Linked DNA regions of Callithrix jacchus. The protein of the gene in region 1 purifies or fractionates together with the protein of each later gene. This does not show direct contact. Links are inferred from orthologs where the notes say so. Each region holds a gene or a part of one and is shown in the gene's direction. Other genes may lie near its edges.

Evidence for each region. The genes of interacting proteins can lie anywhere in the genome.
Region 2: the proteins of DDX3X (region 1) and FUS purify together in Homo sapiens (affinity purification with mass spectrometry; 3 studies listed by BioGRID and IntAct, with this or other methods). This does not show direct contact. The link is inferred for Callithrix jacchus from reciprocal best matches to the Homo sapiens genes DDX3X and FUS.
Region 3: the proteins of DDX3X (region 1) and EIF3D fractionate together in Homo sapiens (co-fractionation; 3 studies listed by BioGRID and IntAct, with this or other methods). This does not show direct contact. The link is inferred for Callithrix jacchus from reciprocal best matches to the Homo sapiens genes DDX3X and EIF3D.

The regions. Positions count from the first base shown.
Region 1 is NC_133524.1:42,180,044-42,183,643, forward strand, and holds part of DDX3X (ATP-dependent RNA helicase DDX3X), read left to right. Parts: intron 1-494; coding exon 495-627; intron 628-1,514; coding exon 1,515-1,673; intron 1,674-1,756; coding exon 1,757-1,856; intron 1,857-2,232; coding exon 2,233-2,368; intron 2,369-3,023; coding exon 3,024-3,109; intron 3,110-3,237; coding exon 3,238-3,336; intron 3,337-3,459; coding exon 3,460-3,600. UniProt on the Homo sapiens protein: Multifunctional ATP-dependent RNA helicase. The ATPase activity can be stimulated by various ribo-and deoxynucleic acids indicative for a relaxed substrate specificity.
Region 2 is NC_133513.1:30,693,865-30,697,908, forward strand, and holds the start of FUS (RNA-binding protein FUS), read left to right. Parts: upstream 1-1,220; 5' UTR 1,221-1,292; coding exon 1,293-1,305; intron 1,306-3,427; coding exon 3,428-3,452; intron 3,453-3,543; coding exon 3,544-3,698; intron 3,699-4,044. UniProt on the Homo sapiens protein: DNA/RNA-binding protein that plays a role in various cellular processes such as transcription regulation, RNA splicing, RNA transport, DNA repair and damage response. Binds to ssRNA containing the consensus sequence 5'-AGGUAA-3'.
Region 3 is NC_133502.1:207,478,242-207,482,501, reverse strand, and holds the start of EIF3D (eukaryotic translation initiation factor 3 subunit D), read left to right. Parts: upstream 1-1,436; 5' UTR 1,437-1,531; intron 1,532-3,458; 5' UTR 3,459-3,468; coding exon 3,469-3,591; intron 3,592-3,874; coding exon 3,875-3,920; intron 3,921-4,260. UniProt on the Homo sapiens protein: mRNA cap-binding component of the eukaryotic translation initiation factor 3 (eIF-3) complex, a complex required for several steps in the initiation of protein synthesis of a specialized repertoire of mRNAs.

The DNA.
Region 1 (3,600 bases):
ACGGAGTTTCACTCTTTGCCCAGGCTGGAGTGCAGTGGTGCAATCTCTGTGCACCATGACCTCTACCTCCCGGGTTCAAGCAATTCTCCTGACTCAGCTTCCCGAGTAGCTGGGATTATAGGCATGCACCACCACGCCTGCCTAATTTAGTATTTTTAGTAGAGATGGGGTTTCTCCTTGTTGGTCAGGCTGGTCTCAAACTCCCGACCTCAGGTGATCCACCCACCTCAGCCTCCCAAAGTGCTGGAATTAACAGGTGTGAGCCACTGCCTGGCCAGTGGACAGTAATTAAAAACATTATCTTGGTGACAAGAAAACCAGCTCTAAATCTTGGTTCTCTTACAGTGCCATGGTAGGAATACCTTGAGATTGAACCTCAAGCCCACAGAGATAAGATAGTCAGTGGAGGCCTTCAAATTCAGAAAGATTGATAATACCTTAACATGGTTCCTATTTCTCATTAATAAAATGGATTTGTGTTTTTTTAATTGAAGGTTTCTACGATAAAGACAGTTCAGGGTGGAGTTCTAGCAAAGATAAGGATGCATATAGCAGTTTTGGATCTCGCAGTGATTCAAGAGGGAAGTCTAGCTTCTTCAGTGATCGTGGAAGTGGATCAAGGGGAAGGTAAGTGATTTCTTCTCACCTTATAGGTGTGTAGAGTAACAGTTTAATAAGTTCTTATTCTGACCACCTATTTGGATGTGAGAGGCTTTTGCTACATTGAACCTGTTAAGTTGAATTAGATGAAAATTGGAATATGGTCATTGGCATAATGTGTAATCAATTTTTTTTTTTTTTTATTTCTCGAGTTTTATATGTTCTACTTAGTACATCTAGTGAATGGCCTAATTTGGTTGGGATTTTTGTGGACTCTATAACAATTTTAAACACCTTGGATTTTTTTATTATGCAAGTATGGTGAACTGACCCCACGTGCCTAATAGCTGTGGTTAGTCCTGTGTCCTGATTTTTCGCAAACAGGCCTAAAATTCTAAAAACATCTTAGTTCAAGTAAGGATTATTTTCTACCTTTTATCCAAAATCTGTCACACAGGTGAATTGTCCTTTAGTATAACTAGGATGATTGATATTTGGTGTATTATTTTCTTTTCCCCACCACTAAATATATTTGAATGAGCACTTTAAATGAAGGTTGTGAGCTGTGTGCCCATTTCAGATAAAACCTTGATCCTTTTTTTTTTTTTTTTTAACCTGTGAAGTGAAGGAATTAACCCAAAAACGTCGTTGATTCTTAATTGTGGCATCTATGAGACCTTTTAGGCTATACAACTTTATAGAGATATAAAGGTTACTAATTTTAGAAATGATTTTAGAAATATCAGTAAATGGTATTGGTTAGAGACCCTTATTTGTCAAATAACTCAGAATTGGCTTGTTGACATCTTTGTAGTTAGCCATAACTTAAGTCTCCAGATACAGTTCTAGAGCAGGGGTAGAAATCTGATAATGGTTAAATGATGTGATTCTGATTATTCACTTGTGCTGTTCAGATTTGATGATCGTGGACGGAGTGATTATGATGGCATTGGCAGCCGTGGTGACAGAAGTGGCTTTGGCAAATTTGAACGTGGTGGAAACAGTCGCTGGTGTGACAAATCAGATGAAGATGATTGGTCAAAACCACTCCCACCAAGTGAACGCTTGGAACAGTAAGTTTTTGAAATGTATGTTACTTGTGATGAAGCTTTATTAGCTAGTATAACAAATGAATTTACCAATCTTTTGATTTGAGGGAACTCTTTTCTGGAGGCAACACTGGGATTAATTTTGAGAAATACGATGACATTCCAGTTGAGGCAACAGGCAACAACTGTCCTCCCCATATTGAAAGTGTAAGTATTTTTGCTTGACTTTTTAAGACACGGGGAGATGTAAATGTTTTCATGGTACATTAGAATGTGAGATGGGCTTCATAAAGTCATATGTAGACCAAAGGCTTCATAGGTTTGTGGAAAAGGAGTGAGTTCAGTGTCACCGTTAGAAATAATTTATTACCTGAAATAGAAAATGGGTCAAACACAGGAAGAACCCACAGTCTTCTCCAGTGTAAAGCCTGGGGATTCATTTTTCTCAAAGTATAATATGATAATTTTACTTAAAGCAACTATAAACTGAGTTACAAATTAGCTGTTAGTTGGTTATTTCTATTATCATAAAACAAAAAATGGCTCTAGATAGCATTTCTAACCCCATTGAATTTCTTAACAGTTCAGTGATGTTGAGATGGGAGAAATTATCATGGGAAACATTGAGCTTACTCGTTACACTCGCCCAACTCCAGTGCAAAAGCATGCTATTCCTATTATCAAAGAGAAAAGAGACTTGATGGCTTGTGCCCAAACAGGTAAGCTCAGCCGATAAGAGTAAACATTATCATATTTGTTCTATAAAGGACTAGATAATAAAATATTTTGGTTTTTATGGGCCATGTGGTTTTGTAACTGCTCAAGCACTGCTATTGGAGTGTGAAAGAAGCCATAGATGATACGTAAATTATTGGATATGGCTGTATTCCTTAAGAGCTTTATTTACAAAAATAGTCTGTTTGCTGACTTGTCTTATAGATGGACCAAAGAAGCCACTTTTTGGAAAACTTAATTTGAGCATAAACTAAAAGTCCTAATTACTAGTAATAAGGCAGTTAAACACTGTCATGGGCAGGGCACAGTGGCTTATGCTAGTAATCCCAGCACTTCGGAGGCTGAGGCTGGTGAATCACAAGGTCAGGAGTTCAACACCAGCTTGGCCAACATGGTGAAACCCTGTCTTTACTGAAAATACAAAAATTACGCGGGCATGATGGTGAGAGGCTGAGGCAGGAAAATTGTTTGAACCTGGGAGGTGGAGGTTGTAGTGAGCTAATAAGATCGCACCACCGCACTCCATCCAGTCTGGGCGATAGAGCAAGACTCCATCTCAAAAAAGGGCCAGGGGACACTCATCTACCAATGTCTGTTCAAAAGTAATGAGCAGGGTTTGTTTTGTTTGTTTTTGAACAGGGTCTGGAAAAACTGCAGCATTTCTCTTGCCCATCTTGAGTCAGATTTATTCAGATGGTCCAGGCGAGGCTTTGAGGGCCATGAAGGTAGACATTTCTTTATAAAATGGGAAATTATTGTAGAACTTCAGTCTAATGAAAAACAGTTTTCAAGTGTAATCTGTAAATTACAAAAGTATAGGTGGAGTTAACCTAAAAATTAACTCATTTCTTAGGAAAATGGAAGGTATGGGCGCCGCAAACAATACCCAATCTCCTTGGTATTAGCACCAACGAGAGAGTTGGCAGTACAGATCTACGAGGAAGCCAGAAAAGTAAGTATGAGTTTCAGTGGTTACTAGCTTTTTCATTGATTCTAATTAAATGTTTTATGATCATGTAAAAATGATAGTGTAAAAATTTTGACTTTGAAGTTCATAACATTTTTTTGCTTACAGTTTTCATACCGATCTAGAGTTCGTCCTTGCGTGGTTTATGGTGGTGCTGATATTGGACAGCAGATTCGAGACTTGGAACGTGGATGCCACTTGTTAGTAGCCACTCCAGGACGTCTGGTGGATATGATGGAAAGAGGAAAG
Region 2 (4,044 bases), on another chromosome or scaffold:
AGCCTGGCGCCTGGCAACAGAGCAAGACTCGTCTCAGAAAAAAAAAAAAGGAATTAACGTCCTTTGTCTTGTTTTGTTCAAGTTTCAAATTGCCTTCTCCAGGCAATGCTGATGAAAGTTCAAGTTGCACGTTACTTTGAAGTTTTCTTTTTGCTTTTGCTTTCACAGGAAGTGAAAGGGCGACCAAACACTAGCATTCAGGTCACCAAAAAGAGGAGTGTTTTGCAGTCACGAGACCTGAATTCGAATCACGACTCCTCTTAGCTGCCCTGTAATCAGGTACAATTACTTGGGTCTTTGAATCTCACTTTTCTTATCCAGAAAACGGAGATATCGTTACTTCCTTCCTAAGTCTGTGGTGAGAAATAAATTATCTGTGCATTTTGAAACCACCTAAGCCTTGTGCACATTTTATTTCTGGGATCGCCACTGGTTCCTTGGTAGGGTTTCAGAAAAATATAAAGGAGGTCCCTGAGAAAAGGCTGCGGATCCTTCATCTGAGGTCAACCCTCTCAGGTCCCAAAGATGGCCTGGGCGGTCCCGCCCGGCGGCTCCCGCGAGCCCAGTGCTGGACCAGCCCGGCACCCAGGGGTCCAGGCCAAAATGACCTGCTGTCTTTCAGGTCAAACGTCACAATGCGCCAACCCCAGAAAGGCCGAAAGGCCAGGCAACCCCGAAAGACGACTAAGTCAACACCAGGGCCCAAGGGAGAGGGAGGCTCAGTGTGTGCTGCTGGAGGAGGGAGGCTGGGGTCGGGAGGACGAGGCGCCCCACACAGTGGCAAGGCGGCGGAGGGCAGGAACTCGTCATCCTGGGTGAAAGCGGGGCCCAGCAAAGGGGACCGGCCACAGTAGTCACGATTCCACCCCGCGACTCCCGACTGTGACTCCAGTTCGATCCCTAACTGTCCGGGCCCCTCGCCCCGCCCCCAGCGGGCACTCAGGCCGTACCACTGTGCCTTCATGGGGGTGGACTTAGAGCATGGGCTAATCCTGTAGAGGAGAGAGAGGTTCTTTCTCCAGAAAGTATGATTATGTATAGTATTCACATGTTTTTAGTTAACTTATTTCCCTTCTACCTGCTCGGATCCTCTACGTACCCTAGGAAGTGGGGGGAGTGCATTCCTGCCTCCCCCATGCGCTTCCGCATTTGGTGTGCGCCTGCGCGGTGCGTAGGCGGCAGGGCAGACTTAAGCTTCGACGCAGGAGGCGGGGCTGCTCAGTCCTCGAGGCGTCGGTGTTGTGTAGAGTTGGAATTTCCTTGCTTGCTTGCCTGTGCGCGCGTGCGCGGACATGGCATCAAACGGTAGGTAAGGGCGCGAGGCGGCGGCGGCGGCGCTCCGAGCCGAGTCCTCCTAGTTGGGCTTTTCATTTTCTGTGGGACCGGGGCGGCGATCGCGTGTGGGATTCTCTCGCATCCCTGTGGCGGGAAGCCGCGGAGAGGGGTGACTGGGGGAGGTTGGTGTCGCCATTTTGTTTCGCTCCTCTGGCGCCTAGCGCGCTGGGCGGGAAGTCTTCTCTTCCCAGTCCGTTTGTTTGAGGTGGGCGTGGGGAGGGACGCTTCTTGGTGGTTTGAAGCGTGAGGTGAGGGTGGAAACGCCTGGTCTCCGTGGCCTCGCCTACCCCCACTCCCGGCCCGCGCTCGGGCCCGCTTTGTCGCAGTGCTGCATCCGGGCACTAGCGGCGCGCACGCGCTCTGCGGGCCCCTCCCCCCCTCGTGGCGCTGATACCCCTTCCCCGTCTCGTGTTGGCTCAGCTTTTTGTCGCGAGACCCTTCGCGGAGGACTCGGCGGCGCGCGTCCGGTGTACGCCTTGTTCCTCTGGGGTCCTTCGGGAAGGGGCGGGACTGCTCCGTTCCCGCCTCGGTTGCCACGCGGCGGGGGCGGAGGCTCGGGATCGCGGCCGCGCTCCCGCTTAACGGTTTGGAGGTGGTGGTCGGGACCAACGTATTGTATCGGTGACCCGGCTGGAGAGTTTTTCCCGCCTAATTTTTTTTTTTAGACAGGGTCTCTCTCTTGCCCAGGCTGGAGTGCAGTGGTACGATCTCGGTTCACACTGCAACCTCCTCCTGGGTTCAAGTGATTCTTCTGCCTCAGCTTCCTGAGTAGCTGGCAGGCGTCTGGCTAATTTTTGAATTTTGTGTGTGTGTGTGTGTGTGGAGACGGGGTTTCACCATGTTGATCAGGCTGATTTCGAACGCCTGACCTCAGGTGATCCGCCCTCCTCGACCTCCCAAAGTGCTGAGATTACAGCCGTGAGCCACCGCGTCCGGCCTAAATTTCTTGCTTCTGAGGTGGGGAAGGAGAATAATCTCCATCGGAGGCCACTCCCTCTCCTGGGCCTTTCCCTTTTCCTGCGGGGGAAGCGCCGCGTTTCCCGTACTAGGTGGATGAGTTGATCTTGTTCGTGTATCTTCAGTGGGGCGTTTCAGAACCGCTTTTGCTGCTTTTTGGTCCCCCGGAGCGGGAAGGCAGGTTAGGTGAGAAAACGAACCATCTGGAGCGACAGGACTGGGGAATCGAGTATCAGTCGACTTTCGCCTCCTAAAGCGAGCACTTGGATGATCTTTTTGATTCCGAGGGCTTTGGATCCTGTGACTTCACTAAAAAGCCCACTTAATCTCCGGGGTTGGTCACAATGAAGAATGGCCTTTTTTGAGACATTCTCGTTCTGTGGGTCTGGGTTGAGAGAACGGAGGCCACAGTCTGAACACTGCTTGAATTCAAACCTGTGCCGGTTGGTAGTTCTGCGACTTCGGGCAAGTTAGTCTATTTTGACTCCTGGGGATAAGGCCTTTTTTATAGAATGGATGGAAGTACTGTGCAGTGTTTTAGGGCAACAGTCACTGACATGAATTGGGCTTGCAGAAAGTGGCTGTCCACCGAGACCTTGGTTTTCCCAATGGTTAAGGCTTTTGGGACTCTGTAGAAACTTGCATTTTCTTCTGTTTTCTTTTATTATGAGAACACTTGGCTGATATGCCAGCTTGCTCTTGTCTCATGGGGGAATTGTATGACCTTTTTTGCAACATGGTCCAATTTTTTTCTTTTGAGAGAGTCTCGCCCTGTTGCCCAGGCTGGAGTGCAATGGCGTGATCTCAGCTCCCTGCAACCTCTGCCTCCCAGGTTCATATGCGTCTCCTGCTTCAGCTTCCTCAGTCTGGGATTACAGACGTCCGCCACCATGCTTGGCTAATTTTTTGTATTTTTACGGATTTCACCATGTTGGTTAGGCTGGTCTTGAACTCCTCACCTCAAGTGATCTACCCACCTCGGCCTCCTAAAGTGCTGGAATTACAGGTGTGAACAACCTTGCCTGGCCAACGTGGTCCTGTTTACCCATCAGTGCTTGAGTTAAGGAATTTAGCTTTAATTCAACTCTTTCAGAGTGTTGGCTGAAGATAATGTGATTGTATTTTTCTTTTGCAGATTATACTCAACAAGCAACCCAAAGGTGAGTGCTATTTTTGCGTTTCCAAAGTTTGTAGAGGCCGACGGTGGTCAAGGCCTCTTTTTCTGATCACGCTGGTTTTACTTTTTTCCAGCTATGGGGCCTACCCCACCCAGCCGGGACAGGGCTATTCCCAGCAGAGCAGTCAGCCCTATGGACAGCAGAGTTACAGCGGTTACGGCCAGTCCACAGATACTTCAGGCTATGGCCAGGGCAGCTATGGTTCTTCTTACGGCCAGACCCAGAACAGTGAGTCTCTCTCAGCGAGTCATCTTTTCCTCTACTTTCTGAATGTTGTTTTTTTTCCTTTTTGAGACGAAGTCTCGCTGTGTCACCCAGGCTGGAGTGCAGCGGCGTGGTTTCTGCTCACTGCAACTTCTGCCTTCCTGGTTGAGGTGATTCTCGTTGAGCCCACCCTCCTGAGTAGCTGGGATTACAGGCGTGTGCTACCATACCTGGCTAATTTTTTTTTTTTTTTTGGTATCTTTAGTAAAGATAGGGTTTTGCCATGCTGGCCAGGCTGGTCTCTAACACTTGACGTCATGATCCACCTGCCTCAGCCTCCCAAAGTGATGGGATTACAGGTGTGAGCCAC
Region 3 (4,260 bases), on another chromosome or scaffold:
CTAAAAATACAAAAATTGGCCGGGCATGTTGGTAAGCACCGGCAATCCCAGCTACTCGGGAGGTTGAGGCAGGAGAATTGCTAGCACCTGGGAAGCGGATGTTGCAGTGAGCTGAGATCGTGCCACTGCACTCCAGCCTGGATGACAGAGAGAATCTCCGGGGGAAAAAATATTAGCCAGGTATGGTGGCATGCACCTGTAGTCTCAGCTGCTCCGGACACTGAGACAAGAGGATCACTTGAGACCAGGAGTTAGAAACCAGCCCAGGCAACAGAGTGAGACCCTGTCTCTACAAAAAACAATTTTTTTTTTTCTTTTGGAGACGGAGTGTTGCTCTTTGTTGCTCAAGCTGGAGTGCAGTGGGGCGATCTCGGTTCACTGCAACCTCGGCTTCCCGGGTTGAAGCGATTCTCCTGTCTCAGCCTCCGATTAGCTGGGATTAGAGGCATGCGCCACCACACCCGGCTAGTTAAGAGTTTCACCATGTTGGCCAGGCTGGTCTCGAAATCCTGACCTCAGGTGATCCTCGTCTCGGCCTCCCAAAGTGCTGGGATTACAGGCGTGACCCATCACGCCCAGCCCAAAATTTTTAAAAATAATTAGCTGGCCGGGTACGATGGTCCATGCCTGTAATCCTAGCCCTTTGGGAGGCCCAGGTGGATACACTGCTTGAGCTCAGGAGTTTGAGACAAACCTGAGCAGCATGGTAAAACCCCATCTCTACCAAAAACACAAAAATCAGGCAGGCGTGGTGGTGCGTGCCTGCGTTGACCCAGCTACTCCGGAGGCTGAGCTGGGAGGATCGCTCGTGCCTGGGAAGTCGAGGGTGCAATGAGCCGTGATCCTCCCATTCCATTCCAGTCTGGAGAACAAAGCTGTCTTAAACAAATAAATAAAAACAGTGTATCAGAAATCTCTGCCCAACAATTAAGTTTGAGAACCGTGGAAGTATGGTTTGAACTCTGGCGGCTAGAACTCTAAACTAGCAGTGTGATCTAGTCAGGTCACTTGGCACCTCTGAGCCTAAAACCCCGACCGACCGCCCCCTGAGCTGAGAAGCACACTAAGCACGCGGATACAGCAGGTGGGGAGTCGCGGGTGACTGTGAGATACGTGGAGACCGAGGCGTGCCGCGAAGCACTGTAGGACACAGAGGGGCGCCAGCCGCTCCCCGCCTCTAGCTTCGATTGCGCGGTCGCCACCCTCTTTGAGCTACCCGGGATACCGCCTGACGTAATAGCAATCACACCTCTGGCGTCCGGACGCTTAGTAAGCTATTGAGTACACCTCGCAAAGCTCATTAACGGATTTCCGGGCGAACCTCGCTTTACGGCTCGTGAGTTCTTCCGCCCAACCCAGAGGAAGCGGGGAGGGGGGAGGGGTGCAGTTTACGACAGCGTTGGTTGTGTTTACGGCAGCGCCTGCTGCGCGCGCATGTTTTCTCTTTTCCGGGTTTTTCGGGGAGCTGCTGCAAACGCGGTGCCCGGCCCGCACCATCTGTTGCCATCCCGGCCGGCCGAGGCCGTTGCAGGTGAGCGGCGTGTTTCATAGGTTCCTGCGGACCTCTGAAGGCGGCTCCGACTAGGCCCAGCCTTCGGGGGCCTCCCGGAAGAGACCTCTCTTAGTCCCTTCCTGCGGCTGTGGTCCCTCCACTGGGCGGGACAGGAATCCACCTTCGGGGGCCCCAGGTTCCGCACACTACTGGACGCGGGACAGTAGTGGATGAGGTCCCTGGCCCTAGGCTCTGCTCAGTGCCCATGGGCTGGGTTTTGATTGTGACCCATTTGGGTCACAAGGTATTTCTTGGCCATAGACTCCCGAGTTTTTCAGTGGGGTCCTAGGGGTGCCGGGCTGAGCGGTGTTTGGTCCCTGTTCTGAGGAAGTTACCTTCCCTTTTTTATGAAACGGGAGGCTAGGATGGAAGAGTAGATTTGCTCTCTGATCTTAAACCTCCCCACCCTCGGTTCAGCGATTGACGGCGTACGAGGTGTAGTGGCCTGCCAGCCACCGAGCCCCTTCTGACTGCCCTCTTGGTGCCTCCCTACCCTGCCCCTGTGACCAATACAGCTGTCGTTTTAACTGAGTGGCTCTACTACTGGTTCCGTTCTGCTCTCCTTTAAAAAACAAAAAAAAAAAAAGCTATAAAAGACAGGATACTGGGCTGCCCAGCTGTAATATAATGAAAAGAAAGCTGTACTGGTAACAGGCAACCCAGGAAATCAAATCTGTTTTGAAATGGTGAGGTCAGCTGCTTGACTAGGCTGAGCTTCAAATTTTTGTCTCTAAAGTGGGAGTGGGGGGTGTTAATGTTGTTAAAGTATCTGGCATAGTGCCTGACACGTAGGGGTTTGTAATATTTAAAATGAAGTGTCTCAAGACCACCATCCTTTTCTTCTGTCCTCTTCCTATAGTTCCTATTAGGACGATGAAGCTTCTGGGTTCATTCTGTGTTACTGTCACCCAAATGTCCTCTCTGAAGGAAGCCTCAGTCTCTCCAACCTCCAAAAAATATTTGTTTACTTTGAAATGGAGTCTTGCTCTGTTGCCCAGGCTGGAGTGCAATGCCGTGATCTTGGCTCACTGCAACCTCTGCCTGCTGGGTTCAAGTGATTCTCCTGCCTCAGCCTCCTGAGTCGCTGGGATTACAAGTCCATGCCACCATGCCTGACTAATTTTTGTATTTTTAGTAGAGACGGGTGTCACCATGTTGGCCAGGCTAGAGATTCCAGCACTTTGGGAGGCCGAGGCAGGCGGATCATTTGAGGTCAGGAGTTTGAGACCAGCCTGGACAGACAACATGGTGAAACCCCGTCTCTACCAAAAACAAAAAATAGCCGGGCATGGTGACACATGCCTGTAATCACAGCTACTCTGAAGGCTGAGGCAGGAGAATCGCTTGAACCCAGGAGTCTGGAGGTTGCGCTGAGCCAAGATCACGCCACTGCACTCCAGCCTGGGCAACAGAGCAAGACTCCACTACAAAAAAGAAAAGAAAAAGAGTAGTAAGGCTGAGAGAAGTTGAGTTTGTATGAGTTGGTGAAAGTGTGTCTGAGAACCAAAACAAGGTTATTATATTTGAAAAAAAGTTAGTACATTGTACCAAATCTGTGACACAACTGAATTTCTTTAAATGCTTTTATTACATAACACAAAAAAAGAAAAACTACCAATTAGTACGACACCCTGTCAAGCACGGGTGCAGCCTCATTTTAAAGATGTTACAGTAAAAAGAGTGCCCTGGAATTAGTGAAATACGGTAAATCAGCTTTGTTTGCATTCTTCTCAGTTTTAAGTATCATTTACAAGAAAACAGTAGTAGTGGCTCAATAGTCAAGGGTTCCATTTTGCGTGTTGCTTTTTGAATTCTATCATTTATGTCTTTGCTCACTTCATATGGAGGGCTTTTTGGACTCTAGGCCTTCGTTCATGCAGCTACTCACATCATTTCTATTTTTAAGGTTTTGGAAGATGGCAAAGTTCATGACACCCGTGATCCAGGACAACCCCTCAGGCTGGGGTCCCTGTGCGGTTCCCGAGCAGTTTCGGGATATGCCCTACCAGCCATTCAGCAAAGGCGATCGGCTAGGAAAGGTACTTGCCGGAGTCTGAATCTTTGCAGCTGTAGCTGCTACTCTCAAGTCCCTGTTTAGATGGTATTGTCTCGAAAGCTTAACTCCTGTATTTCGTACAGGGTTGCCAGCTGAGAACGGTTATCATCTCTGGGTGTAGTCATAGGAGAGCTGGGCTCTTACAAAAGAGTTGCAAGCAAATTCTGAGGCTCTTCCAGTCTTCTCGCTTTCAGGGGTTGCTGGGTCTGCAGAAACTTGCCTGGTTGACCTGTGCGTTCTCGGTCTTTCCCTGTTGTTCTTCATAGGTTGCTGACTGGACAGGAGCCACGTACCAAGATAAGAGGTACACAAGTAAGTGTTTCTGCAACCCACTGCCCCAGTCGGGCCTTGGGAAAGCTCTTCTCATTTCTAATGACCTTCATCTGAAAGCTTTTTAGAATGGGAAGGAACCGCTAACAATTTGTAGCTTTGTTGAACAGATTTCAAAAAAAAAAAGTAAACATCCTAGCCAGGTGTGGTGGCATGCACCTGTAATCCCAGCTACTCAGAAAGCTGAGGCAGGAGAATCACTCGAACCCAGGAGGCGGAGGTTGCAGTGAGCCGAGATCATGCCACTGCACTCCAGCCTGGTGACAGAGCCAGACGCTGTCCTGGTACCATAAAAAGGCTTTTTCTCTGTGCCATTTCAGAT